Xenopus tropicalis: one gene and its partners. The protein of the gene in region 2 purifies or fractionates together with the protein of the main gene of each other region. This does not show direct contact. Links are inferred from orthologs where the notes say so. Each region holds a gene or a part of one and is shown on either strand. Other genes may lie near its edges.

Region 1 (5,860 bases), on a different chromosome or scaffold from region 2:
GTATGATGTATAAATATATAAGAGGATCATATATAATCTTTCCAGTGACCAGTAGGTCCTTTCAGCAGACACAAGGGCACCCACTCTGATTAGAAGAAATGAGGTTCCGTCTAAATATTATGAAAGGGATTTTTATGCCGAGAGCTGTAAAGTTGTGGATTTCTCTTCCTGGGAGACATTAGATAACTTCAAGAAGCGGTTGGATGGCTTTTTAGCAAGTGAGAAAATACAGGGTTATTGATATTAGCTTTTAGTACAAGTTGATCTGGGGACTAGTCGTCCTCCTCTGAGGCTTCAGTTATGGCTATTGCCTTACTCTCGATCAGCTGACAGGCAGATTTTATTTAGTCCAGAATGTAGAAACTTGGTTGGTTGTGTCTTTTTTGAACCAAAGTTACTTTGTTACTTCAGTACAAGCAGATGTTCTGAATGATGCTTGTGTTTTTAAAATATTTTTTTAACAAGATTTTTTTCACTTATGTTTAAAGCTTTATCCTGGCAGTAATCTTTTATGGTTAGCCTAAGCGAATCAAATATTTACATGTGAAAAAACAATAACTGTTTTTGTAATTTACAGACAGCACAGGCATTGGCTACTCCTGCAGATACCAGTAGTGTTACTAAGGAGCAGTCAGAGGAAAATGATACAACAGAAGCTTCTCAAGAAAATCCAGACAGAAATCAGATCAAAGATCTCATGTCCCATGTACGACAAAACTTTGGCAAGATCAGCGTGGCACCAGAATTCTCAGAGGAAGATTTAGTACCTATTGAAGGAATCCCAGATATCTCTGATGTTGAGTCTGAAGAAGAGGACTCTGCAGAAGAAGAAACAGAAGAGGAAAGCAGTGATATGCTAATGGGTGAAACAAAGGATTCAAGCACCAAAGACAGAAGTTCTAAAGCACTGGTAAAAGAGTTAGATGATCGGATTGCAAAGTACAAAAAATTCCTAGACAAAGCCAAAGCCAAAAGATTTTCTGCTTTAAGGTAAAGTATGAGTCTTTCTGAAATAGAGAACAGGTTTAGGGAGATAATAACTAGAATAATAAGTCTTAAGTTGTGGGCTTTGTATATAATAGCTTAGCATAATAATAGCACTTAGCTGCCATACCATTCTTCATGTCAAATGAAAGCAGCAAGAATAAACTGCAGCTGCACTGGAATAATTGTTGGGGGAGCCCATACCTGCCCTATTGACTTGGTTTTCTTGTATCCAATGGAAATATTAGACATTATTCTTTCTGTGTATGTTCATTACATAAAGCTTTAAAAACTACTTATTCACTTCAATATACATCAATCACCCAGTCCAAGTCTTAATCTCCACTGCTTTTCTATTGAGTGAACCTACAACTGCGAAGTCTTAGTTTGCAGCTGGTTTAATCTTGGCACTTCAACAGCTTCACTAGTCCGGTAATCTTCCTGGAATGGTATTGGGTGATATTCGCTATTCTTTCTCCCAAGATACCATAATTAATTCACCAGCATTCTCTCATGTAACATCACAGCCTGGCTGTATGGAAAGGTCTTGCTGGGACTTCTCTGTATTGGGAATCTGGAGATGTTTTTTTAAGACCTAGACCATCTCTAAGGGATTTGAAAAGTGCTCACTTATTAAATCTAATGATTCACTGAATGTTCTTTGATTGAAGACTTTCCAGTTTTCAAATGGGTACGTAACATTGTCTCGTTAGCACTTGTTGTGCAAGAGAATAAAATCTGTGCCACATGTGATGGTTTGGGATACTTGCCACTGGATCTGCTTTGCAAGATTCGCTAATGAAATATTGTTGTGTTGGCACTTTTTATTTAATCCACGTTATATGAAAAGTGTAATTAAGATATTAACACTGGTGAGGAAAGTATGGAACATGTTGTTCATTTCAGCAGGAAATGAGAACAATGTCTTTTAAGGCACAGGGAAAATAAGATTTTTTTTTTTTTTTTTTAAACCTTTAATCCTGACAAAGACAAAGATTTTGCAAAGTTAATCATGCAGGTTTTTAGAACACATTCTACAAAATGTATGACAATAAAGTTAAAGGATCACTTAGGTTAGTTAAATTGATCCAGTCTGCTTTCATATGTCTAGCAATACGTTCGAGATGAAATTCTGGCAACAAAATATTTGCTTCCAAAAGCTCTGTATGTCATCAATAAGAATAAAATGCTGCTAAATGGGTCTTATAAATGGGTATAAAATGGCGTTGATAGTGTGATAGGTGTTGAATGAAGTGTAGTACATTTTGTAAATGTACTGTGTGTGCGTCACTTTCTTTACCTTTAACTTCACCTGTTTCTTCATTCCTATCATAAATAAGTGATAAATCATAGTTGAATAATGTGAAATTACAGATGGTTAACATATAAGTAACTAAGTTTATACTGGAGAATATGAACTGTTTGCACACTCGCTTGTGTACGCAGGCCGAATAAAAAAGAATGACATAGGTTTAATGATAACTTGACCATCAAGATTGCTTGAACTTTATTAGTAACAGAAACAGACTATGTACTTAAGAAGTAAAGTGTCTATACAGTTTCCTTGTAAATTGTGGGCATTTGTGGGAAGCTATTGTCTAGCTTATAAAAATAGATAGAAGTTATATTACCAATAGTGGTTACAGAATTTTACCATTGCCTACTCTGTTTAAGCACTTTTAATAAATGGGATTTTTTTCTTTGTAGAATTCCTAAGCATCTGACAGAAAACCTGTTTACAAAACCAAGTGAGGACCAACAAGATAAAGGTATTAATGTAAACTCGATCCCACTTACGCATTCATTGCCTATGTTTACTGCCCACATTATTATTATTCTCATCATCTTTCCTACCTTCAAATGGGCCATTGTAAGCATCATATTGATGATAAACTCCAGTTAAACAGAGCTGTAGTCTAACAAGGAGGCTGTCGTATCTGCCCCCACTAGCTGACAGAATACCTCATAGGCTGTGCACTGTTTGCATGTAACCCTCTCTTGTGATTAAAAGTTCTTTACTAAATACATATAGGAACCTTCAGTATCATATAAACCCATTGACCACTTTTGCTAGCCAGTTGTATATGTCACCTCTGGCACAAAAGTGTGAAATCTGTGTTTGGGAAATATAGGACCCTGGTGTAGCTATCCGTTAAATACAATGTGTAGTGATGCTCGGTTCAACGAACAAAAAGTAAACCCTCATCTGACTGTAACCCACCCTCTCCCGACCCAAGACCCACCTAACCCAGTGCACTATTCTGATTTTTATGCCTTTCCTTGTAAGACATCACTGGAGGGGGCATGCCAGGCAAGCTTGGGTATACAATTATGTGATAGCCCCCAAAAGGAGGGGAGAATTGGATTGAGCTAACTGCAATCTGCTGGCCTGATCCTGCCTGACCTATGCAACACTAACATCATGTTTATAAGTTGTTATTTTTAAGTTAAATTCATAATGTATTTCAGGAAAAGGAAAGAAAAGAAAACAATGTGATGCCGATGAAGAAGATAGTGAACAGCCACAAAAGAAACTTTCATCAAAAGAGGTTTGTTAATTTGTTTTTAAGATTAAGCAATATAAATGACATGGAGTAAAACTGGATGTACACATATAGATTGGTGCATGGTTATATACAACTGTAAGGCAAATGCCAGCAGCTTTGTAAGTAAATCACCAATCCTATTGCACAATATATTTGATAAATGCATTTCATTTATAGTACTACATGCATCTAGACAGCAGATAGATTTTTTTTTTTTTTCAGATTCACAGTGGCTATAAAAACTATTTGCCCCTTGACACTTTTTATGTGTTTTTTGTCTTAGAAATCACAGAATTTTATCTTGTCTTTTTGACACCAATTAGCTGATTTAAGATACTTTCACGTCAAAGTGAAAAAAGAACTATGTGAACTGATTTAACTTAATTAAAATAAAAACATATTAATTGTAGTATACACCCCTATACATCTTTGGCAGCAATTACAACATTAAGCCTGTGTGGATAGGTCTCTATCAGCCTTACACATGTGCATTTTTTTTTTTTTTTTTTAACATTTCTCTGTGCGGCTGCTCAAGCTCTGTCAGGTAGCATGGGGATTGTGAATTAATAGGCCTTTTTCAATTCCAGGTTCAGAATCGCTGTTTTGGATTGAGATCTGGACTCTAGGCTAACTGGGTTAACTTTAGAACATGTAGTGTCACCAGTTTTGACAATGATGAGTGTGGCTTAATTGGCCAGTTCCAATGATTAGGAGGAGTGGCTCTTATGTAAATGAAGGCAGTACAGTTATACATGCACAAAAGGGGTTGTCTACCTTTTTGCCTTGATGTTTAAAAGTCTTATTTTTGTTTTATTTGTATTAAAATTAAGAAACTTGCCTGATTCCTGGGTATAGAGATATGGAGTGATGGGCGAGTGAGCCAGAGAGGAGAAAGCTGCCAAGAGGATTAATTGTTTGCAAAAGAATAAGGAAGAGTCCTGTTGTTAACATGTGCAAGTTGCCATCTTTCTAACACTGAGAGATATGTACATGTGATTTAAATGTATTTCTTTTTTCGTTAACCTTTTTTCCTTTACTTTGCAGAGGAGAAGGCAAGAGCGCCAGCAGCACTCTAAGAAAGTTGGTGTGCGGTATTATGAAACTCATAATGTCAAAAACAAGAATCGCAACAAAAAGAAAACAGACTCCCAAGGCCAGCAAAGCAAACACAGAAAACAAAAGCTTAAACACTGATGTCTAAAACTGTTTTGCAATTAAATTACTTGAGACTTTTTTTCAGTATGTCCTTCATAATTATTCAAAGCTCCATCTATGTGTGAGAAAATAATAATCCCCACGGCTTGCTACAAATGAAGCTTTTACGCTGATACCTCTTCAAATGGTACAGTCTCTGTGTATAACATGAAGGCCTTCTCTGCTTCTCTCTTTATTTATGATACCAAGAGCATCTTTACTTTTAAGTGTCATGTATAAGCCCTAAAGGGTAAGTAGGATATGTGGGGCAGCTGAGGAGTTTTTGTGGACGTTATCTTTTTCAGCTATAAACTTGCCACTCTTGTATGGTCCAACCATTGTGTGAAACACATGCATGTTTTATATGATGTACTGGACACAGCTATGTTAAAAATCCTTAGCTTATCCTACTTTACCTTTTTTGTTCTTGAGATTTTAGCTTTGGACTATAAATTAGGAGCTAGAGTAAAATAACAAGTTGCTAAAGGAAACTATATCATACAATTATTTAGTAAAAATGTATCACACCAGCTAAAATCTACTTCCACTGGGATGATTAACATAGCAAACTTTTTTTTCATAATACAGTTAAAAATAAAAATAGGATGTTGTCAACTATGCCTAATTTACATCCATTTTATATAAATGTCTAAATAGAATGAACTCTTTTCTCCTGCTAAAAACTTCTGTAAAAGGAATTTGTATAAACTATACTGAATTAGACTCATGGAGGACTCATCAAGGAAATCACTGTATGTCCTATAGGCTGAAGTTCATCCACTGGGTTTTAAACAGAGCCAGGGCAGCTGCTTATCATATTTCAGCTATAGACTGGCTTCAGCTTTATTGGGGCTCATCAGTGCAGTGATTTCTCATCAGAATGTGGGAGCCACAAAATGTGGTTTTACATAAACAGCCTATTCATATGCTCACCTTTTTTTATCATGAGGGATAGCACAAAATAACATATGATGCTGAGGAAACTGAGAACAAACTCAAGAAGGTGAGAGTGGAAAGAGAATATATTTAAAAAAATATATAAAATAGAGAGTAACAACAACAGAAACTGAAAAACAGGGGTGGAACAGTAAAGAGCAAGTTTTTGGGGAAAAAGGAGGGGGTAGTGACTCAATAGG
Region 2 (6,334 bases):
GTTTGTAAAATTAATAAAATATAAAGATAAGTAAATGGGCCTCTTAGTTTTGACTTAAAAGAATGTAAAAAATATCAAAATCAGCTTTGTGTTTTAAAATGTATCTTATAGGGCAAAGACACGGTACGATTAGTCACCTTGACTTTTATGTAAGGAAGTCTCTGCGACTAACTGCGGTGACTTTTCACCACAGAGAAGAATGGGGTCAGTTGTCTCAGAAGTCGCGGTGACTAATCTCTCCATGTCTTCGCCCATAATGGCCACATATAAATAGGGGCTGATTTACTAATTCACAAATCCGAATGTGAAAAATTCTGATTGGAAAACGAACATTTTGCGACTTTTTCGTATTTTTTGTAATTTTTTCGTCGTCGCTACGACTTTTTGTAAATTGTCGCGACTTTTTCGTAACCATTACGACTTGCGCGAATTGTTTTTCGTATTGAGCGCTCGTAAACTGCGGGCAAAACTTTCAGACTTAGCATGATTTTGGAAGCCTCCCATAGGACTCAATGGCACTCTGCAGCTCCAACCTGGCCCAAGAAAAGTCACGATACTGAAGCTTGAATGAATCCGAAACTTTCGTACTCGGCGCGAAGGTTATGAAAAAGCCGCGACAATTCGCGCAAGTTGTAACGCTACAATTCGCGACAATTTATGGAAAAATCGTAAAATACCGATCATTACGAAAAAAACGCATTCAGACGCCTTCGGACCGTTCGTGGATTAGTAAATCAGCCCCTTAGTGTTACCCCCTTTTCTGGATTAAAACAACAAGCCTCATTTACCTGCGGGGCCTGTAAATTACTGGGCAGGTGGAACTCCTACTTTTATATCTCACTTGCATACCCACCAACTGGCCCGCTTTTCGCGGGACAGTCCCGCTTTTCATGGCGCATCCCGCTGTCCCGGATAGTTCCATGAATGTCCCGCATTGCAGGACATTCATTAAACTATCCAGCACAGCGGGATACGCTGGCTGGAGCCGGACGTTCAGACTTCCCCGGCAGCTTTACTCCTTATGCAGCGCGACAGGCCCTTTTATAAGGTTGCGCCTGTGGGTGTGACGTCATTACGCACGGGCGCAGCCTTATAAAAGGGCCTGTCGCCGCCGCATAAGGAGAGGAGCCGCAGACGAAGGAGGAGCTCCTGTGGGGGGTAATGTGTATGGGGGGGCTCTGTGTATGGGGGGATCTGTGTATGGGGGGGCACTGTGTATGGGGGGCTACTGTGTATAGGGGGCACTGTGTATGGGGGGCTACTGTATATAGGGGGTACTGTGTATGGGGGGCTACTGTGTATAGGGGCACTGTGTATGGGGGAGCTACTGTGCATAGGGGCACTGTGTATGGGAGGGCTACTGTGTATAGGGGGTACTGTGTATGGGGGGGCTACTGTGTATAGGGGGTACTGTGTATGGGGGGGCTACTGTGTATAGGGGGTACTGTGTATAGGGGGTACTGTGTATGGGGGGGCTACTGTGTATGGGGGGCTACTGTGTATGGGGGGCTACTGTGTATGGGGCACTGTGTATGGGGGGGCTACTGTGTATAGGGGCACTGTGTATGGGGGGGCTACTGTGTATAGGGGGTACTGTGTATGGGGGCTACTGTGTATAGGGGGTACTGTGTATGGGGGGGCTACTGTGTATAGGGGTACTGTGTATGGGGGGGCTACTGTGTATAGGGGGTACTGTGTATGGGGGGGCTACTGTGTATAGGGGGTACTGTGTATGGGGGGCTACTGTGTATAGGGGGTACTGTGTATGGGGGGTTACTGTGTATAGGGGGTACTGTGTATGGGGGGCTACTGTGTATAGGGGGTACTGTGTATGGGGGGTTACTGTGTATAGGGGGTACTGTGTATGGGGGGGCTACTGTGTATAGGGGGTACTGTGCATGGGGGGGCTACTGTGTATAGGGGGTACTGTGTATGGGGGGGCTACTGTGTATGGGGGGCTACTGTGTATAGGGGGTACTGTGTATGGGGGTTCTGTGTATGGGGGACACTGTGTGTGGCGGGGCTCCTGTGTATGGGGGGTCTCCTGTGTATGCTGGGCAAATCTGGTACATAGTTATAACTCACTTATAACTGACTGCCTTCTCTCTATATTTGTATTTTAATGTAGGAGTTGTTATATTGTTTTCCTTAGGTAGTACAGTATGAGGGTATAGCACATTTGCGTCTGAACCTGCCATTTCATCTATATAAAAGGAGTATTTTTTTAAAAAATTGGGGTGTGGTAATTGGGGCGTGGCCACAAAAGTGGGCGTGGTCAAAAATTGCTTTTTGTCCCTCTTTTCATTTTTCAAATGTTGGGAGGTATGCACTTGTCCTAGAATATATTTCCACCCCTTTTTGAGGGAACTTTATGTAAAAATAACTTTTTTCATGAAGGCAACATGGAAAAGGTCAAGATTGACAAAAAATAAAATAAACACAATGTAATGTGTAATAGTGACTGCCTATGGCATCTTACAGCAGCGCTTCTGGTATTTGCCAGAATCCACAGACTGATATCCGGATCCAATAAATTTCTCTTCGGCTAGGTTGTGGTGCAAGCATAAAAATGCTGTAAAAACGTGGAACATAAGCGTTAGCGGAACCTATTGGAACTAGCTGGACTCCTGCCGGAGAGCATTTTATGTTGCCCACTTCCCGTGTTTATGTCACGTGTTGGAGCCGGCTAACTGCAGCATGGCGGAGACCGAGCAATCTGTGGGACCTAATGCAAAGGGCAAAAACAAGAAACGCCAGACCCAGCCGGGTGAGTGCTGCTTTCAGTTCTTTGGTAACACCGCTATATTTGCTTTAATGTCTGAGATGAGAAAAAACAAAATGGAGCCGTACACATCTGCTGTATGCCTATATATATATATATATATATATATATATATATATATATATATATATGAAGGCAGTCATTTTACAAGGCTAATACAGTTGTTATAAAAACGTAGACGTCAAAGAGCTCAGTTCATGTTGCAGAACGGCATCCTTTTAGCTATGTCTTTATTTTTCTTGCTAGTGGAGGAATCTGAACTTCTTACTGTCCCTGATGGCTGGAAAGAAGATCCTTTTACAAAGGAAGATAACCCAAGAGGATTACTGGAAGAAAGCAGTTTTGCTACATTGTTCCCCAAATATCGAGAGGCTTACTTAAAAGAATGCTGGCCGCTAGTTCAAAAGGCATTAAATGAAAGTGTATGGATTGTTTATTCCTATTAACCATGTATACCACAAAGTATATCTACACTAGCATTTCAAACCTGAAAATGTTTGCTTACTACTATACTTTTACACTGGGAAATAACAGTAAAATTACAACTTAACCCATTAAAGAGGTTTTGTTAACTGCTTTTTATATTTTTTTTATCAGTGTGTTTTTATGTCACTTTAATGCTGATTCTGTGTGGCAGTTTGTTAAAGCAGAGCTGGATTTGATTGAAGGCAGCATGACTGTCACTACAACCAAGAAGACTTTTGATCCATATGTTATCGTTCGAGCCAGAGACTTGATAAAGTTGCTTGCCAGAAGTGTTCCGTTTGAGCAGGTTTGTGTTACATGTAAATATTTTTGTACAATGACCATTGCTGAGTTATTGTCACTGAGACGGTCAAATTTGTTAGAATCTCCCCGGAGAATTTGTTCACTAAACTCATAGTCTGGACGGGTGCTTCATTTCACTGAAAAAACATACTAGCCCAGGGCTCTAATTTATTGAGCATTGCTTGAGTCTAATCCCAGTGATCATTGTGGCTGCTTTGAGCTTTTTACTGCACTTTTGCATGCCCTATACTAGCAACCATAAATGACGATGGTGCTCGGTATTTTAGTATGCTGAACCATTGTGTTTTTAAGTGAAGAGCAGCATCAGCAACTGTATACACTTACATCTCTAAGTTAATCACAAAACAAAAACTGTAGTACCGTGTTAGCCAGTGTCAAAAATAATAATAATAAAAAAACAACAAACACAAATATGAGAGTATTGTAGAATACCTATATTGGCTAACAATAAAAATACATTGCAAGCTTTCGGAGCTCTAAGGCCCCTTCATCATCATCATCATTTTGCCTGATGAAGGGGCCTTAGAGCTCCGAAAGCTTGCAATGTATTTTTATTGTTAGCCAATATAGGTATAATTTCTACAATACTCTTGTATTTGTGTTTTGTTGTTTTTTTATTATTATCTCTAAGTTACTAACCCTTTCCATGTCCTTTAATTGGTATAATGAATGGATGGCAGTGTCAGAGTGCAGAATAAGTGGTCTGAAACATCTTACATATTTTTCTAGACTATTACCACATTCTTGGGGCACACATTAAGACATTTGGGATCATACTATCAAACCTGTCAGTGATTACTTTTTTTTGCCAGTTTCAGGTAGCACAATGAAAACAAAGTTCCTCACAGTGACACATGGGGGCAAGAGGGCACAGACTAGGGGTAGGAAGAGAAGGTACCTGACTGGCGCCCCCTTATCATCATGCCCTAGGCAGGTGCTTCTTCTCCCTACCCCTAGTTCTGACATTCTGACCCTGAGTAATAAGATAATAATAACAATAAAGACAGAATTTCAGATTCAGTGCCCATTTCACATAAAAAGATGTGAATGACAAAGATATTTGTTTCCATCTAGGCAGTAAGAATACTACAGGATGATATGGCTTGTGACATTATTAAAATAGGCTCCTTAGTTCGAAACAGGGAAAGATTTATCAAAAGGAGACAACGGCTTCTGGGACCAAAGGGATCAACTTTAAAGGTACTTAAAGTATGCAGTTCTGGGAACTAAAATATGCTGTGTAATAATAATGGAGATGCTTATTTAAACTACTATTTCCTAACAGGCACTGGAGCTTCTTACAAACTGTTATATTATGGTTCAGGGTAACACAGTGTCTGCGTTGGGGCCATTTAGTGGATTAAAAGAGGTAAGATGAGTAGATTTTGCATTATTGTGGTTAATAAAAGGAAGAAAAGAATTAAATTTTAATAAACAAATCTTTCTTCTTGTGCAGGTTAGAAAAGTAGTTTGGGATACAATGAAGAACATTCATCCAATATATAATATTAAGGTAACTATATAGGGATGTGGTTTGTAGTCAACATTTGTGTTAAGGTTTTCATTTTGTGTATTTGAGTGGAAATTTTTGTTTAATCCTGTCTAATTTATTGTGAGCCAGTCCTCTTGTGTCTGCTAGCCCTGTTTTTTATGGATGCTGATCTGTGTTCTACTCACATAATTGGAGACGATAGTGTAGAAAGATTTAGTTGCCTTTTATGCAAACTAATGCAAACAAATTATTGGATAAAATGTCAATAATAGATACCTGTATGTAAATGTATTTTACTGTGTGCAAGACAGATGTTACGCTTGCATGTGCATGAACAGGTCACTTGGGTATAATGGTCAATGGTACAATGACTAATCTGTTAATAGACAACCACTTTTATCTGTAGTTTTTTTGGGGTAGGAAAGTTATTGAAAGAGTTGGGTAAAGCAACCATTTTTTTTTTGTAAATTGGCAAATATTTAAAACATCCACAGGCTTTAATGATAAAACGTGAGCTGGCAAAGGATCCAGAATTAAGATCCAAAAGCTGGGAGAGATTTCTGCCACAATTTAAGCATAAGAATGTAAGCAAGCGAAAAGAACCAAAAAAGAAGAGTGTAAAGAAAGATTATACACCATTTCCACCACCACAACCTGAAAGCCAGGTATGTTGTTTTTTTTACTTTTCTAAGATCAATTTAAAGGAGAAGGAAAGGTAAAAACTAAGTAAGCTTTATCAGAAAGGTCTATGTAAATACAGGCATAAGCACTCGCAGAAATGCTGCACTGAGTTTGTGTCAAAAGATTTGTTGTGTCTGTCTTCCTCTGCCGGAGACACGCAGCTCTCTCCCCTCTCCTGCCCTCCCTTAGGAATGTGGATCTGAGCCAATCAGCAGGAAGCTGACTCACAGTCTAACTAACTGAGCATGGGAACTTTCTTTACACAGCTCAGCGTTTTTTCTTCCTGTTTGGCCTCTGATCATTTGAACAGGTGAAATATGGGGAGACTTAAGGGCACTATTGAGAGAACTGAAGGTGTGCCTGCAGCTTGAGGTTAACGCTTTATTAGCCTTTCCTTCTCCTTTAATGGTGCTTTCTATAGGATCTCTACTGTGTATTTATCTCTGTAATGGACATTACCCAGCCTTGTTATGTTAGATGCATTTACAGTAATTATTGTATGCTTTAGTTTTGACACTACACAGCATGTCTTTGGTAGTTAGCTAATTTGACAGTGCTTCTCACTCTGTCTTTTTATTGCTTTGCTGAAG
Region 3 (5,777 bases), on a different chromosome or scaffold from region 2:
TTAACTATAGCATTTTTTACACAAGGTATATTATATAATGACCCTTCACTTATGTTTAACTTGTTAACTTATTATACTATCACTTTAAGAATGTTTCCTGAAATGCTGTGTGCTTGGTGGGTCATAGGTCAATTTGGCTTTAAATGAGATCACATGGTTATGGTCTTTGTACACTTGATAAAGGGTATTAACCCGAAACATGTCGTGTTACCACTACCCATAATAAATGTTTTGCAGTTAATCTGCTGGAGCTTTTTTTTCCTATTTTTGGATTTTTGCTATTGTTAAAACCAGTTTCTTCTCTTGATCCTCTAATAACCCGCATTTGCTTTTGTTAGTCCAAAAAGGAAGAAGTCGTGCAAGCTGCTATTCGAACAACTTCTAAACTATTTGAAGTTTTTTTGGAAAAAAGGGAACTTTACATAGGAGATTTACCTGCAGAGGATGACAGCCTTCCAGGTAACCATCGCTTCAAAACTAGTGGGATTTGTGCTAGATTAATTAAATGTAAATCCAAGTATGAAATAAATCCCAACTCTTTGCCATATATTTGCAAATGAAGTCCTTATTTGGTGGCTAAAGGGCATGGAAAGCTTAATACACTTGGGAACTGTTTTCTCTAAAAAAAAAAAAAAAGCTATGTGCTGCTATCTTACCCTGTCTTCTGGTGGATTCCTTTTACCCTACTAAATCTGGACATGAGCAGTATAATTAAAGGAAGAAGTAATATTATACTACACATATCCAAGTCTAGGAATCTGACTGAGACTGAAGAGATCTCTGGGAAAAGCTGGCGGTGCAGGCCTTAGAAAGACCAATGGGCTGATGCAGATTTATTCACTGGGGTGGATGTCTGACAAAGTGGTGCTCCCCAGAGCTATAACTTTACTACAAGTAATAATATCCATGGATTATAGCAGGGATCCCCAACCATTTTCACCTGTGAGCCACACTCAAATGTAAAAAGAGTTGGGGAGCAACATAAACATGAAAAATGTTCATGAGGGTGCCAAATAAGAGCTGTGATTGGCTATTTGGTAGCTCCTATGTGGACTGGCAGCCTAAGCGAGGTTCTGTTTGGTAGTACACCTGGTTTTTATGCAACCAAAACTTGCCCCCAAGTCAGGAATTCAAAAATAATCACCAGCTTTGAGGCCCCTGAAAGCAACATCCAAGGGGTTGGTAAGCAACATGTTGCTCACGAGCCACTGGTTGGGGATCACTGGATTATAGGAGCTGTAGTTAACAAAAGCTGTTTTTTTTTTTTTTTTTTCTTGCCGTTTGAAATGCAACTAAATACCTCTTCCTTTGCATGCCCACAGACACATGCAGTGCAGAAGACAAGTACAAAATGTGGATGAGACATCGCTATAATAGCTGTGTGACCTGCTTGCTGAATCTTTTGCAACACAGCTCTTTTTCTGTCCAGGTCAGTTGTGTTTTATGTGAGTAAATCTGGCTTCTTGAATTTAGCAATGCAGAATTTAAACAGTTACAGATTTTCATTAAGAAGGGTGTTTTGGCTAAACATATTAAATGTATGTGAAGTTCGGTACACCTTTCATCACCTGATAGTAAAAGAGTTAACATGGAATAACTGGAGGGTTGCATGTTTGACATCCTGTTTTAGAATCCCTTTCCCTGTTCGGACTTCTGGTGGAAAGACAAAGACTTCTTCTGTGTTAAGTTATTTACACATAAGAAGTTTGGGTCTTCAGAGCTGCTTTTGCTTATTTAGTGCCTCAAGGTATTTTTGACCATATGTCTGGTAGTCTGCCCCTAAGTAAAAGAAATTTCCACCACTAAAGATTTACAGCAGGGGGCGTAATCATGACAGGGTCAGAGAGATGAGGGGTGGCATGAACCAAGTAATTATTTTCTCTGTAGACTCTCAAGTGAAGGCATGGGAAGAATGTGTTTTCTGATTGTGCTCTAGTGGGCTTTTATTTGGCAAGTGTTTTGTTTTGATTTCACTAACAAAAGGAAGTAGGGCTATTCACAGAAACCTGGCGAGGAGAGGAGTGGAGTGTTGGTCACTGCTTTTAACCAGATATCATTTGTGCTTCCTACAGGAGCTTGCCCTGTGCACACTGATGAAGTTCATCCAGCTGGAAGGAAAATTCCCTTTAGAAAATTCAGAATGGAAAGAAAGCTACCGGTTTCCTATAGAACTGTTAAAGGTAAGAGGATATTCAATGTGGAGAGTTTGCCACTGATATTTCTTCTTTTAATTACTGACTGCTGTGCATTTTAGTTTGTTATAGATAATTTGCTGCAGGAGGAAACAGACTCTACCCTGTTGATCACACGTTTCCAAGAATACTTGGAATATGACGATGTCCGCTACTATACAATGACTGCGACTAATGACTGCATTGCACGAGTACAGCAAAAGACCAAACAGGTACTGACACAAGCGGGCCAGCACTGCATTTAGTATTACTAGGGCTTTCAATGATTTGGAGCAGTTTTCGGACCTGGGATATGGGATACTGCAATGCATTTTCTAGGAGCATGTGTGGGAAAAGATAAATCCCTACAGTTGCTGCAGATTATCTCTGGCTGAATTTCATATTGTACTTAACCTTGCTGGCACTCAGGTCCATTTTGATCTAGCTTAGTATTAAGGCAGTGCATATGGCATTATACCAATAATTTTGCCATTTCACAGTTTCATAGCTTGTTGTTTATCAGTTTCAGGAGCAGTGACCAAGGCCATATGCTGTTGCTTTTGGTCTCCATAAGATTTCTCACAACTGATCTAATTTAAGAAAACTGATTTTTTTTTTTTCTGTTCTCAGGTCTTACCACCAGTTTTCCAAACCAATGTGTTTTGCTTACTTTCCTCAATTAACATGCCAGTTGAGCAGAGTTCTTTGGAAAATTTCCTAGTAACCAAAAATGGTAAGCACGTCTCACACATTTCCTCTGACATCTGTAAATTGCTTGTTACAATGCTATTTTCCAATTGCTTTGTGCTTCAAGCCATGCCTCATGGTTTCTTGCAAGAGGATTATGATGCTGCAGGAGAGCTGTGTGTGTCTTCCACAAATGAACTGTCAGCAGTGGAAAGTTGGCAGTGCATGCATAGAAGCTTACCAGATGAAGCAACAGGGGGATCATTTTTATTAACCTTTGTAATTGTGTTGTAACCCTAGAAATATTTAAGAAAATTTAATTCTTAGCACTTTTCCAATATACTTTCATTACAGATTCTCAGTAGCTACAATTAGAAATAACAGAAAACATATTTTTTTTATGATTAAAACAATAGTAAAAGTATGTACAGCACAAGCCCTATTCATTGTGATCTTCTTGAAAAGGGGGTATACTGCTCCTTTAAAACAAAGTTAATCAGCTAGCTTCTGCTACATTGTTTCAAAAGTCATAATTACCAGGGTATGCAATAGCAATATTTAGACAGCTTTTAATAGCAGTTATATTTTCAAATAACTTTAAAACCATTGAAAAGTTGTAGTTAATGTATTATGGGGAGTTGATACTAATATTTTCTACTAGGCCAGAAACACTCCTGTAGTTCTGTATACAATGAAAGCATATTGCCACAGAAATATGGCTGTCTTGTAATCCTTACTGCAATTCTCGTTAAAGTTGCATTAATCTCAAGTATGTTTCAGTTATTTGAACATATAACTCCCGTGAAATTCGTTCCATGTATCGTCAAACTGCAATGACAATTGATAACGCCATTACTCCTGCAGCTGAAATACTGGAGCAAATGCAACCCTTTTCGAGGGACAGATTTTACAGCTCGCACAGCCAAATCTCCCTTAAAAACAATAACCCCCAAAACCCAAGAAATACTTCTTTATTCTCAAAATGACCAGATGCATGGTTTTTCCTCCTCATCACTGCTAGTGATTAAACTTCTGGGAGTTGATTGAATCTTATGTTCATAAAACCACGTTTTTATAGTGTGGAGATATTTTTATAGTGTTGCAAGAAACGAGCACTGGAAAAACTAGTCCATGTAATATGTGCACATATCGGAATAAAATCCAGAATTCCAGCAATGCTACCAAGTAAGCTATCAATACATCCTAGGCCTCCACTGTTTTTGCCCAAGCTCAGCAGGGGTCAAAATGTTCTGCCAGCCATCAGCATTAGGCTTTATGGAGTTGCTAACATTTGTCTCCACCTGCTTTCTGTTACATTTGCCCTAGAGAGTATTTTAGAATGTTTCCAAAATTACTTTGCAACAGCAGGAATCAGGACATATGCAGCTTAATATTGTGTGAAGATACAGGCAGAACTAAAAAATGTAAATATAATCTAAGAATAAGTTAAAGTACCAAGGGTATGTAATTCTTTTTTTTTTTTTTTTTCCCCGCAGCAAATCATGAAGACTGGAAACCGACAAAATTAAAGGTAGCTGTACATTGCATTGAATGTTTGAGACATCCTGGAGGCATTCTTATTGCTGTTAACGTCATTATATTTTTTTTTTCTTTCTTTAGGAGCATAAAAGAGTATTTGAAAGGGTCTGGATGAGCTTCCTGAAGCACCAAGTGAGTGCAGTATACACCTTTGCCAATGCTGACTCTCAGATTTGATTATAATGAGCCAATTGGTTTCATCCCTTATAAAGCCTGTTTGATCATTGTCTTTACAACTATGATTTCCAACAAATTGCATCAAGTATTCCTGTTTTGTTTAATTCCAGCTTTCAGTCAGTCTGTACAAGAAGGTGCTTTTGATCTTGCATGAAAGTATCTTGCCACATATGAGCAAACCAACCCTAATGATAGACTTCCTAACTGCTGCATATGATGTTGGTAAGTGACACTAAGGGGTACATTTACTAATCCACGAATCCGAATCACGAATGGGAAAAATCGTATTGGAAACGAAAATTTCGGAAGATCGCAAATATCACGAAAATGCTTACGTAAAAATCGTATTAGTCACGATAATATCGTATTGGCGATCCGAAAGTCACGAAATTTTCATACCGAACAATTGTAAACAACGGTAAAACCTTTCCGATTTTTTCGTGCAAACGTCCGAAAAAGTCGTGCGCCGTACGAAAAAGTCATGCGGACGCCCGAAAAAATCTGCGAAAATACGCTCGGAGCGTTCGCATGAACGCTTGAGCATTCGTGCTTTTGTAAATGTGCCCCTAAGGATAATGTAATAAATCTTGAAAAATTTGCAACAAATATAGTAAACCATATTAACTTGATAACATAAACCAGTTATTAATTATCTATTTTTTTGCCAGGTGGAGCCATCAGCCTACTAGCCCTAAATGGGCTATTTATTTTGATTCATCAGCATAATCTGTAAGTTTTTAAATATTATCGTTAATGCTAACTGGTAACATTTGTTAGAATTCAATTAAATTTTGGGTCTGTAAGTGATATTCATACACTAGTATTCCAATTTGAAGCACATTAAGTTCATTGAGCTTTATGTGAGGTTTTTTTTCATTCCCCATCAGAGAATACCCAGATTTTTACAAGAAGCTTTACTCTCTCTTGGAGCCCTCTATTTTCCATGTAAAATATCGTGCTCGTTTCTTCCACCTGGCCAACCTGTTCTTGTCGTCCACGTAAGTCCAAAGACTTAAACTTTTCCATGGATTAAGCCTTACTGTAAGGTTCCCCTGCTTAATTTGTATTCTTATCACATCTCCAAGGCATTTACCAATTTACCTTGTTGCTGCATTTGCAAAGCGTCTGGCCCGGCTCACCCTGACAGCCCCTCCTCAGGTGCTTCTGATGATTATCCCATTTATCTGTAACCTGATCCGCAGG
Region 4 (6,660 bases), about 77 Mb from region 2:
CCCCACCTGCCCAGCCCACTGCCCACAAGTGTCTCTTTGCTGTGCGACATCTCCAGGGTCAAGTATAAGAGTGAGCGCTGCCTTGTGGCATCTTCAGTTTCCACTTAGGGAGAGACAAGTGGCTTGGAGAGTTTGGGAGGGAGAGAAGATTGCGGTGTTCTGCTTCTGCTTACGGGTGGGGCAGTGTTCTGAATTCATTTTCTGCAGTGCTCTTACTGGCATGCCTGGGGTTAATGCAATGCCCTGAATCCTGTTTGTGCACTGATCTACCTGGCATGCCTGGGGTTAATGCAATGCTCTGAATTCATTTTCTGCAGTAATCTCATTGGCATGCCTAGAGTTAATGGAATGCCCTGAATCCTGTTTTTGCACTGATCTCCCTGGCATGCCTGGGGTTAATGCAATGCCCTAAATCCATTTTCTGCAGTAATTTCACTGGCATGGCTGGGGTTAGTGCAGTGCCCTGAATCAGTTTTCTGCAGTAATCTCACTGGCATGCCTGGGGTTAATGCAATGCCCTCAATCCTGTTTGTGCACTGATCTTGCTGTAATGCTTGGGGTTAATGCAATGCCCCAAATCCAGTTTCTGCAATGTTCTTACTGCCATGCCTGGGGTTAATGCAATGCCCCAAATCCAGTTTCTGCAGTGCTCTTACTGCTATGCCTGGGGTTAATGCAATGCCCCAAATCCAGTTTCTGCAGTGATCTTACTTCCATGCCTGGGGTTAATGCAGTGCTCTGAATCTGTTTTTTTGGCTCACAATATGGACATTTGCCTTAGGCCACTGATTTTGCTGATATTCTGTTCTGATTCTATAGGTTAGCCCCCAGGCCAATGCTCACATCAAAAAGGAGATCTCATAAATGATCATACCCCGACTGGAGTTCCTATTATTATTATTAACATTTATTTATAAAGCGCCAACATATCCCGCAGCGCTGTACAATAAGTGGGTTTCATACATTGGACATACAGAGTAACATATAAAGCAATCAATAACCGATACAAGAGAGAAGAGAGCCCTGCCCAAAAGAGCTTACAATCTACAAGGAGAAAGGTTTGAGACACATTCCTAACCTGGCCAATATTGGTCAGGAAGCCCCACATACAACCCAATAAGCTGCTGAGTCGGCCCAGCACACTGTGGGCAACATATGATCACACTGTCATAGTCCTTATATTGTGCAACCGTGTAATGGGGTTAAAATCAGTAATAACAATAATAAATGGGGGCTGTAGCCCTTTTCATCAGTGGCCAAACACCTGATCCTTACATTCTTGCCGGAGATTTACTTCTTAAGACTACGAGGGGGGGAGCTAATACTTTCTATGGCATTGTATAGCCACATTGGAAATTCCCCAGAATAACAACAGATTATCCGCGCGTTGTGTATTGTCTGAATAATGTATCCCTCCCTTTATTTACTAATCCCCAACCTTCTCCGCGGCTTTCACTAAAACCTGCACTAATTGCTTAAGGTCATTAGATTTATTTTTTTTCCTTATAAAATGGGCTTAACGACATCGCCAAAATAGCTTTGTTTAACGTTAAACAATTTTAATGAGCGTGCTGCTTTTTAAAAGTTTTTTGGGCGCCCAAGTTCTCAACCCACTCAACCCACTTGCACTTTAGCAGCACGTAGATCGCCACCTGCTGGCTGAATTTAGTAAAGAAACGTAAGCCATTTAAAGGGGTAGTTCACCTTTAATTTAACTTTTAATAAGCTATAGGGTTACTTATTTTATGCAGCTTTTCAGTTGGTCTTTATTTTTTATCATTTTTAAATTATTAGCCTTGTTTTGACCAGTTTTCAAATGGGGGGTCACTGACCCCAACAGCCAAAAACCTATTGCTCTGTGAGGCTACAATTTTATGTATGTATAACTTTATTTATAAAGCGCCACAAGGGTACGCAGCGCTGTACAATCTCACAGAATTCAAAATTACACACAGGGAGGACAAGTGATATAATAAATATATATATATATATATAAGTGCCATGTGGTATGAGACAAAGAAGGAAGGAGGTCCCTGCCCCATAGAGCTTACAATTGTTATTGTTACTTTTTATTACTATTATTATTTCTATTCAGCCCCTCTACTATTCATATATAAGCCACTTTCTCAAATCACTCCGTTACTAAGGTAAATTAGACACCCTAGCAACCAGATAAAGGCTGAAATTCCAAACTGGAGGGCTGCAGAACAAATAGTAGAATAATTAAAAAAACTGCCAGTAATAAAAATGAAGGCCCACAGGCCTTGTGCATTTGTGCATTTGTGCTGCTGGGGTGCTTATGTTACTGCTGCCAGGGGGCTGGGGACATTCTGAGCTCTGTTCTACTAAGAGAGTAATTTCACCAGACCAGATTAGTTGAACACTTGAGGGAATGTATATAAATCCCACCATAAAGGGCTGTACACACTGTGGAACGCAAGACCCTCCCCTATTTGGAACGCAAGACCCTCCCCCTGTTTCAAACCCCGCCCACGCTGTTAGCGGATTGGCTGTTACTGCGTGCCACACTGACGCATTGAGGCGACTTCCTGCTCACGTGTTTCCGGGCTGGGGCTCAGCATGGCTGAACTGAAGATAAACCGCAAGTTCGCAGAGAGATACGATCGCTACCGTGAGAAAGAAGAGCTGCAGCGCCGTGAGTCGCCCGAACTTATCCGCTCTGGGTTACGGGGGGTTCGGAGAGTTCAGTTAACGCTTGAATGATAGATTTGTGTGGCCGCTGAGAATGCTGGGAGTTGTAGTATAGACAGTTTCAGTGGGTAATGGTCCCTGATGGTCCTATGACTTGAAATAGCTAAGGCTTGGGGGATTCTGGGTATTAAACATTCCTGTGGCCAATCATATTACCCATAATCATCTGTCAGAACACAAATGACCCAGTTGGTAAGATCAGTATCTGCTTATAGGCTGCAGTGCGCTCTGATCCCCCTGTTCCTCTCAGTGCTTCTCTGCAGCTGTCAGGGCATGCTGGGAATTGTAGTCTTGTAACTGTATGGCATTGTGTTTGGGATAGGAATTGCAGTCAGTTATGATTTAATTGAGGTATTAATATGTCTGCTAATCTGTTCCCTTCTGTGCAGTCAAAGACCGATATGGGGACCTGCCAGAGGAAGAGGAGGGCACCTCCAGCTCCGAGTCTGAAGATGAAGAGATGGTAAATACAGTCTTATTCATCATTACTTGTCATGTGTGTATCACCCTGCAGTGGGAGGGGCAGACTCCATGTCCCATAGCCCCCTCCTGTCTGTGTCACTGTATCACCCTGCAGTGGGAGGGACAGACTCCGTGTCCCATAGCCCCCTCCTGTCTGTATCACCCTGCAGTGGGAGGGGCAGACTCCGTGTCCCATAGCCCCCTCCTGTCTGTGTCACTGTATCACCCTGCAGTGGGAGGGACAGACTCCATGTCCCATAGCTCCCTCCTGTCTGTATCACTGTATCACCCTGCAGTGGGAGGGGCAGACTCAGTGTCCCATAGCTCCCTCCTGTCTGTGTCACTGTATCACCCTGCAGTGGGAGGGGCAGACTCCGTGTCCCATAGCCCCCTCCTGTCTGTGTCACTGTGTCACCCTGCAGTGGGATGGGCAGACTCAATGTCCCATAGCTCCCTCCTGTCTGTGTCACTGTATCACCCTGCAGTGGGAGGGGCAGACTCCATGTCCCATAGCTCCCTCCTGTCTGTATCACTGTATCACCCTGCAGTGGGAGGGGCAGACTCCGTGTCCCATAGCCCCCTCCTGTCTGTGTCACTGTATCACCCTGCAGTGGGAGGGGCAGACTCCATGTCCCATAGCTCCCTCCTGTCTGTGTCACTGTATCACCCTGCAGTGGGAGGGGCAGACTCCATGTCCCATAGCCCCCTCCTGTCTGTGTCACTGTATCACCCTGCAGTGGGAGGGACAGACTCCGTGTCCCATAGCCCCCTCCTGTCTGTGTCACTGTATCACCCTGCAGTGGGAGGGACAGACTCAGTGTCCCATAGCCCCCTCCTGTCTGTGTCACTGTATCACCCTGCAGTGGGAGGGACAGACTCCGTGTCCCATAGCCCCCTCCTGTCTGTGTCACTGTATCACCCTGCAGTGGGAGGGGCAGACTCCGTGTCCCATAGCCCCCTCCTGTCTGTGTCACTGTATCACCCTGCAGTGGGAGGGGCAGACTCCGTGTCCCATAGCCCCCTCCTGTCTGTGTCACTGTATCACCCTGCAGTGGGAGGGACAGACTCCGTGTCCCATAGCTCCCTCCTGTCTGTGTCACTGTATCACCCTGCAGTGGGAGGGACTACATAACACAATGTTATACTCGTTACGCTGGGCCTGGTAGTTCCTTTGTTATGTAGAACAGTATACAATGTGTTATTTACAGACATATTTGATTTCCAGGTAATTGATCCCAAGCTGGACAAGGAGTTCTATCGCACGCTGTCACTGCTGAAGAGGAAGGATCCCAGAATCTACCAAGAAGATGTCACATTTTACAGCAATGAAGGTAACGCACACAAACACACACTAAATTAGAGGGATTATTATAGGGGGGGTCATACATTGCATTACAGGAGAAGGTGAGGACTGTCGCATGTTGTTGGATCACCGCTGAGTGTGGCTCCGCCTGTCTGGGAAATGATGGAGTTTCAGATAAACCCAGCCCTCACTTCTTTCATGTTATTTACCCCTGTCTGTTATTTTTTAGGAGAGTCTGCCTCAGGCCAGAGTAAAGCGGCCAAAGAGAAGCCCATGTACCTGAAGGACTATGAGCGCCAAGTCATCCTAGAGAAGGAGGGGTAAGCAGAGCCGCCAGTGCTGCAAAGTACGACTCCCCGAGAGCCACTGCCGCCCCTCCTATTGGGTAAAACCTGTTACATCCTGTGCTTTATGTGTAACAAGCGCCCAAAGGTGGGGTGGCACGGCCATGGGATTGGGGTTGTTCGGCAGATAAACAAAGTGTGCCCTGAAAGCAATGCCACCCTCTGCTGTTCCGAGGCCATATGTCCTGCCTCACTAACTGCCCTCTGTAGGTGGCTGTATGGCAGAAAGGCAGAATAAAAAAAGATAGGATACACAAGTAATGGTTTGTTTTCCCTTTAAGCAAATATGAGGATGAGGAAGATTCAGAGGAAGATGATGATCTGCAGGATCAGGTGAGAACATTGTTTTTGTAGCCATAAAAACACCATAGTGAGGCTGCATCCTGCTGTACGTGGGCTGGGAAATGCATGAATGTGGGGGAAGCCATTATATGGACACATAGGATCACATGGTCAGGTAATGACTTCCTGTTTTGCAGAGAGCCCGCTCCCCCACGTACCTGGAAGAACAGAAGCAAATCAGAGAGAGGTGAGTCTGGTACAAATGGAATGAAGGCTTCTCGCGCTCAGGGGATGTTCTAAGCAACCAATCAGCTGGGCTATTGCTAAGCACTGATTGGATGCCGCCCAAAGGCACCGCTTCCAATCGGCTCCCTGGGCGATAATGTGTCTGTATGTGGTTTTCTGGGTGCCGTTCTGCAGGAGTTGGTCACTGGCGCTTCTGAAGGGGACACATTTAACCCTCAATTCTATGGTTCCTTTGCAGCTTCCGGACGTTTGTGGAGGACAGTGACAACGAGGACGGAGAGGGAACGGCGGGGAATTTATTGACGAGACGAATAAAGACCAAGAAGGAGCAGGTTGGTGGTGGTTAAGGAACTCTCTCTCCCCAGCCTTCCATTAGTGTCCTGCCTATTGCTGTTTATTTATCTCAGTAGTTCAGCTGGATTGTCTGACTATTGGTCTGTGTGTAGGTGAGGCTGCAAGCCTATTGGCCAATAGGAATTTCTCACAATGCCTAAGCTATCCTAAGTACAGCCATCTTTACCCCGTGCTTAATGTGGGGCCCATTAACATGTAATGTTTGGTTGTTACAGGAGGAGGAGGAAGAGGAATACATTGCCTGGCTGAAGGGCCAGAAGGAAATCCATGATAAAGGGGAAGTAAAGGAGATGGTGAGTGGCTGGGATAATGCTTCATAATAATAATAATGTCCTCTCTGTCATCCTGAAATGGTTTCACTCACTGCAACTTTCCTTTCTGTTCCATTAGGGGTTCCTAAAGGAATATTGGTCTGACCCGGCTCTGGATGAGGGGGAGAAATTCCTGCGGGATTATATACTCAACAAGGAGTATCTGGAGGAGAAGGAGGACTCTGAGGAGGATGAGGAATGGTAAGGTTTATATCATTATACATCTAAATACATAATATAAGTATATAATATTGATTAACTTGCCCCCTTCTCCCTGCGTAGCCCCCCAGCCCTAGAAGAGGCCCCACATGTGTCAGATTCAGAGGACGAGGGGGAACTTTTCCTGAAGAAACAAGAAGATTTTGAGAGAAAATACAATTTTAGATTTGAGGAGCCGGATTCTGATTTGGTTAGTTATACAGTTTGAGCGACAGACCTGAGCATTTGTGATTGGCTGAGTGCTCATGTGACCCATCTGTCTGTCTGTATTTTAAGATGGAATGAGCAGCTGCGGGGCTGCTTGGGGGACCCCCCCATCCCCGTTGCCATGGGATTCTGGGGCTCTGATAGTTTTCTCTCTCTGTTCCCAGGTTAAGACTTTCCCCAGAACCATCGCACAGTCGGTGAGACGCAAGGACGACCGGAG

Evidence for each region.
Region 1: the proteins of krr1 (region 2) and gnl2 purify together in Homo sapiens (affinity purification with mass spectrometry; 3 studies listed by BioGRID and IntAct, with this or other methods). This does not show direct contact. The link is inferred for Xenopus tropicalis from reciprocal best matches to the Homo sapiens genes KRR1 and GNL2.
Region 3: the proteins of krr1 (region 2) and noc4l purify together in Homo sapiens (co-immunoprecipitation; 3 studies listed by BioGRID and IntAct, with this or other methods). This does not show direct contact. The link is inferred for Xenopus tropicalis from reciprocal best matches to the Homo sapiens genes KRR1 and NOC4L.
Region 4: the proteins of krr1 (region 2) and kri1 purify together in Homo sapiens (affinity purification with mass spectrometry; 3 studies listed by BioGRID and IntAct, with this or other methods). This does not show direct contact. The link is inferred for Xenopus tropicalis from reciprocal best matches to the Homo sapiens genes KRR1 and KRI1.

Annotation. Positions count from the first base shown.
Region 1 is NC_030678.2:84,699,238-84,705,097, reverse strand, and holds the end of gnl2 (nucleolar GTP-binding protein 2), read left to right. Parts: intron 1-577; coding exon 578-990; intron 991-2,691; coding exon 2,692-2,753; intron 2,754-3,453; coding exon 3,454-3,533; intron 3,534-4,574; coding exon 4,575-4,724; 3' UTR 4,725-4,764; downstream 4,765-5,860. UniProt on the Homo sapiens protein: GTPase that associates with pre-60S ribosomal subunits in the nucleolus and is required for their nuclear export and maturation.
Region 2 is NC_030679.2:61,102,416-61,108,749, reverse strand, and holds the start of krr1 (KRR1 small subunit processome component homolog), read left to right. Parts: upstream 1-2,548; 5' UTR 2,549-2,697; coding exon 2,698-2,767; intron 2,768-3,028; coding exon 3,029-3,204; intron 3,205-3,419; coding exon 3,420-3,554; intron 3,555-4,645; coding exon 4,646-4,771; intron 4,772-4,856; coding exon 4,857-4,940; intron 4,941-5,027; coding exon 5,028-5,084; intron 5,085-5,557; coding exon 5,558-5,728; intron 5,729-6,334. UniProt on the Homo sapiens protein: Part of the small subunit (SSU) processome, first precursor of the small eukaryotic ribosomal subunit.
Region 3 is NC_030677.2:156,452,289-156,458,065, reverse strand, and holds part of noc4l (nucleolar complex protein 4 homolog), read left to right. Parts: intron 1-338; coding exon 339-459; intron 460-1,322; coding exon 1,323-1,429; intron 1,430-2,072; coding exon 2,073-2,180; intron 2,181-2,254; coding exon 2,255-2,404; intron 2,405-2,801; coding exon 2,802-2,904; intron 2,905-4,354; coding exon 4,355-4,389; intron 4,390-4,478; coding exon 4,479-4,529; intron 4,530-4,684; coding exon 4,685-4,796; intron 4,797-5,242; coding exon 5,243-5,303; intron 5,304-5,461; coding exon 5,462-5,572; coding exon of another isoform or gene 5,573-5,576; exon of another isoform or gene 5,577-5,659; coding exon 5,660-5,777.
Region 4 is NC_030679.2:138,190,741-138,197,400, reverse strand, and holds the start of kri1 (protein KRI1 homolog), read left to right. Parts: upstream 1-2,462; 5' UTR 2,463-2,580; coding exon 2,581-2,656; intron 2,657-3,101; coding exon 3,102-3,175; intron 3,176-4,399; coding exon 4,400-4,505; intron 4,506-4,706; coding exon 4,707-4,797; intron 4,798-5,102; coding exon 5,103-5,154; intron 5,155-5,300; coding exon 5,301-5,350; intron 5,351-5,587; coding exon 5,588-5,681; intron 5,682-5,918; coding exon 5,919-5,996; intron 5,997-6,093; coding exon 6,094-6,215; intron 6,216-6,296; coding exon 6,297-6,423; intron 6,424-6,604; coding exon 6,605-6,660.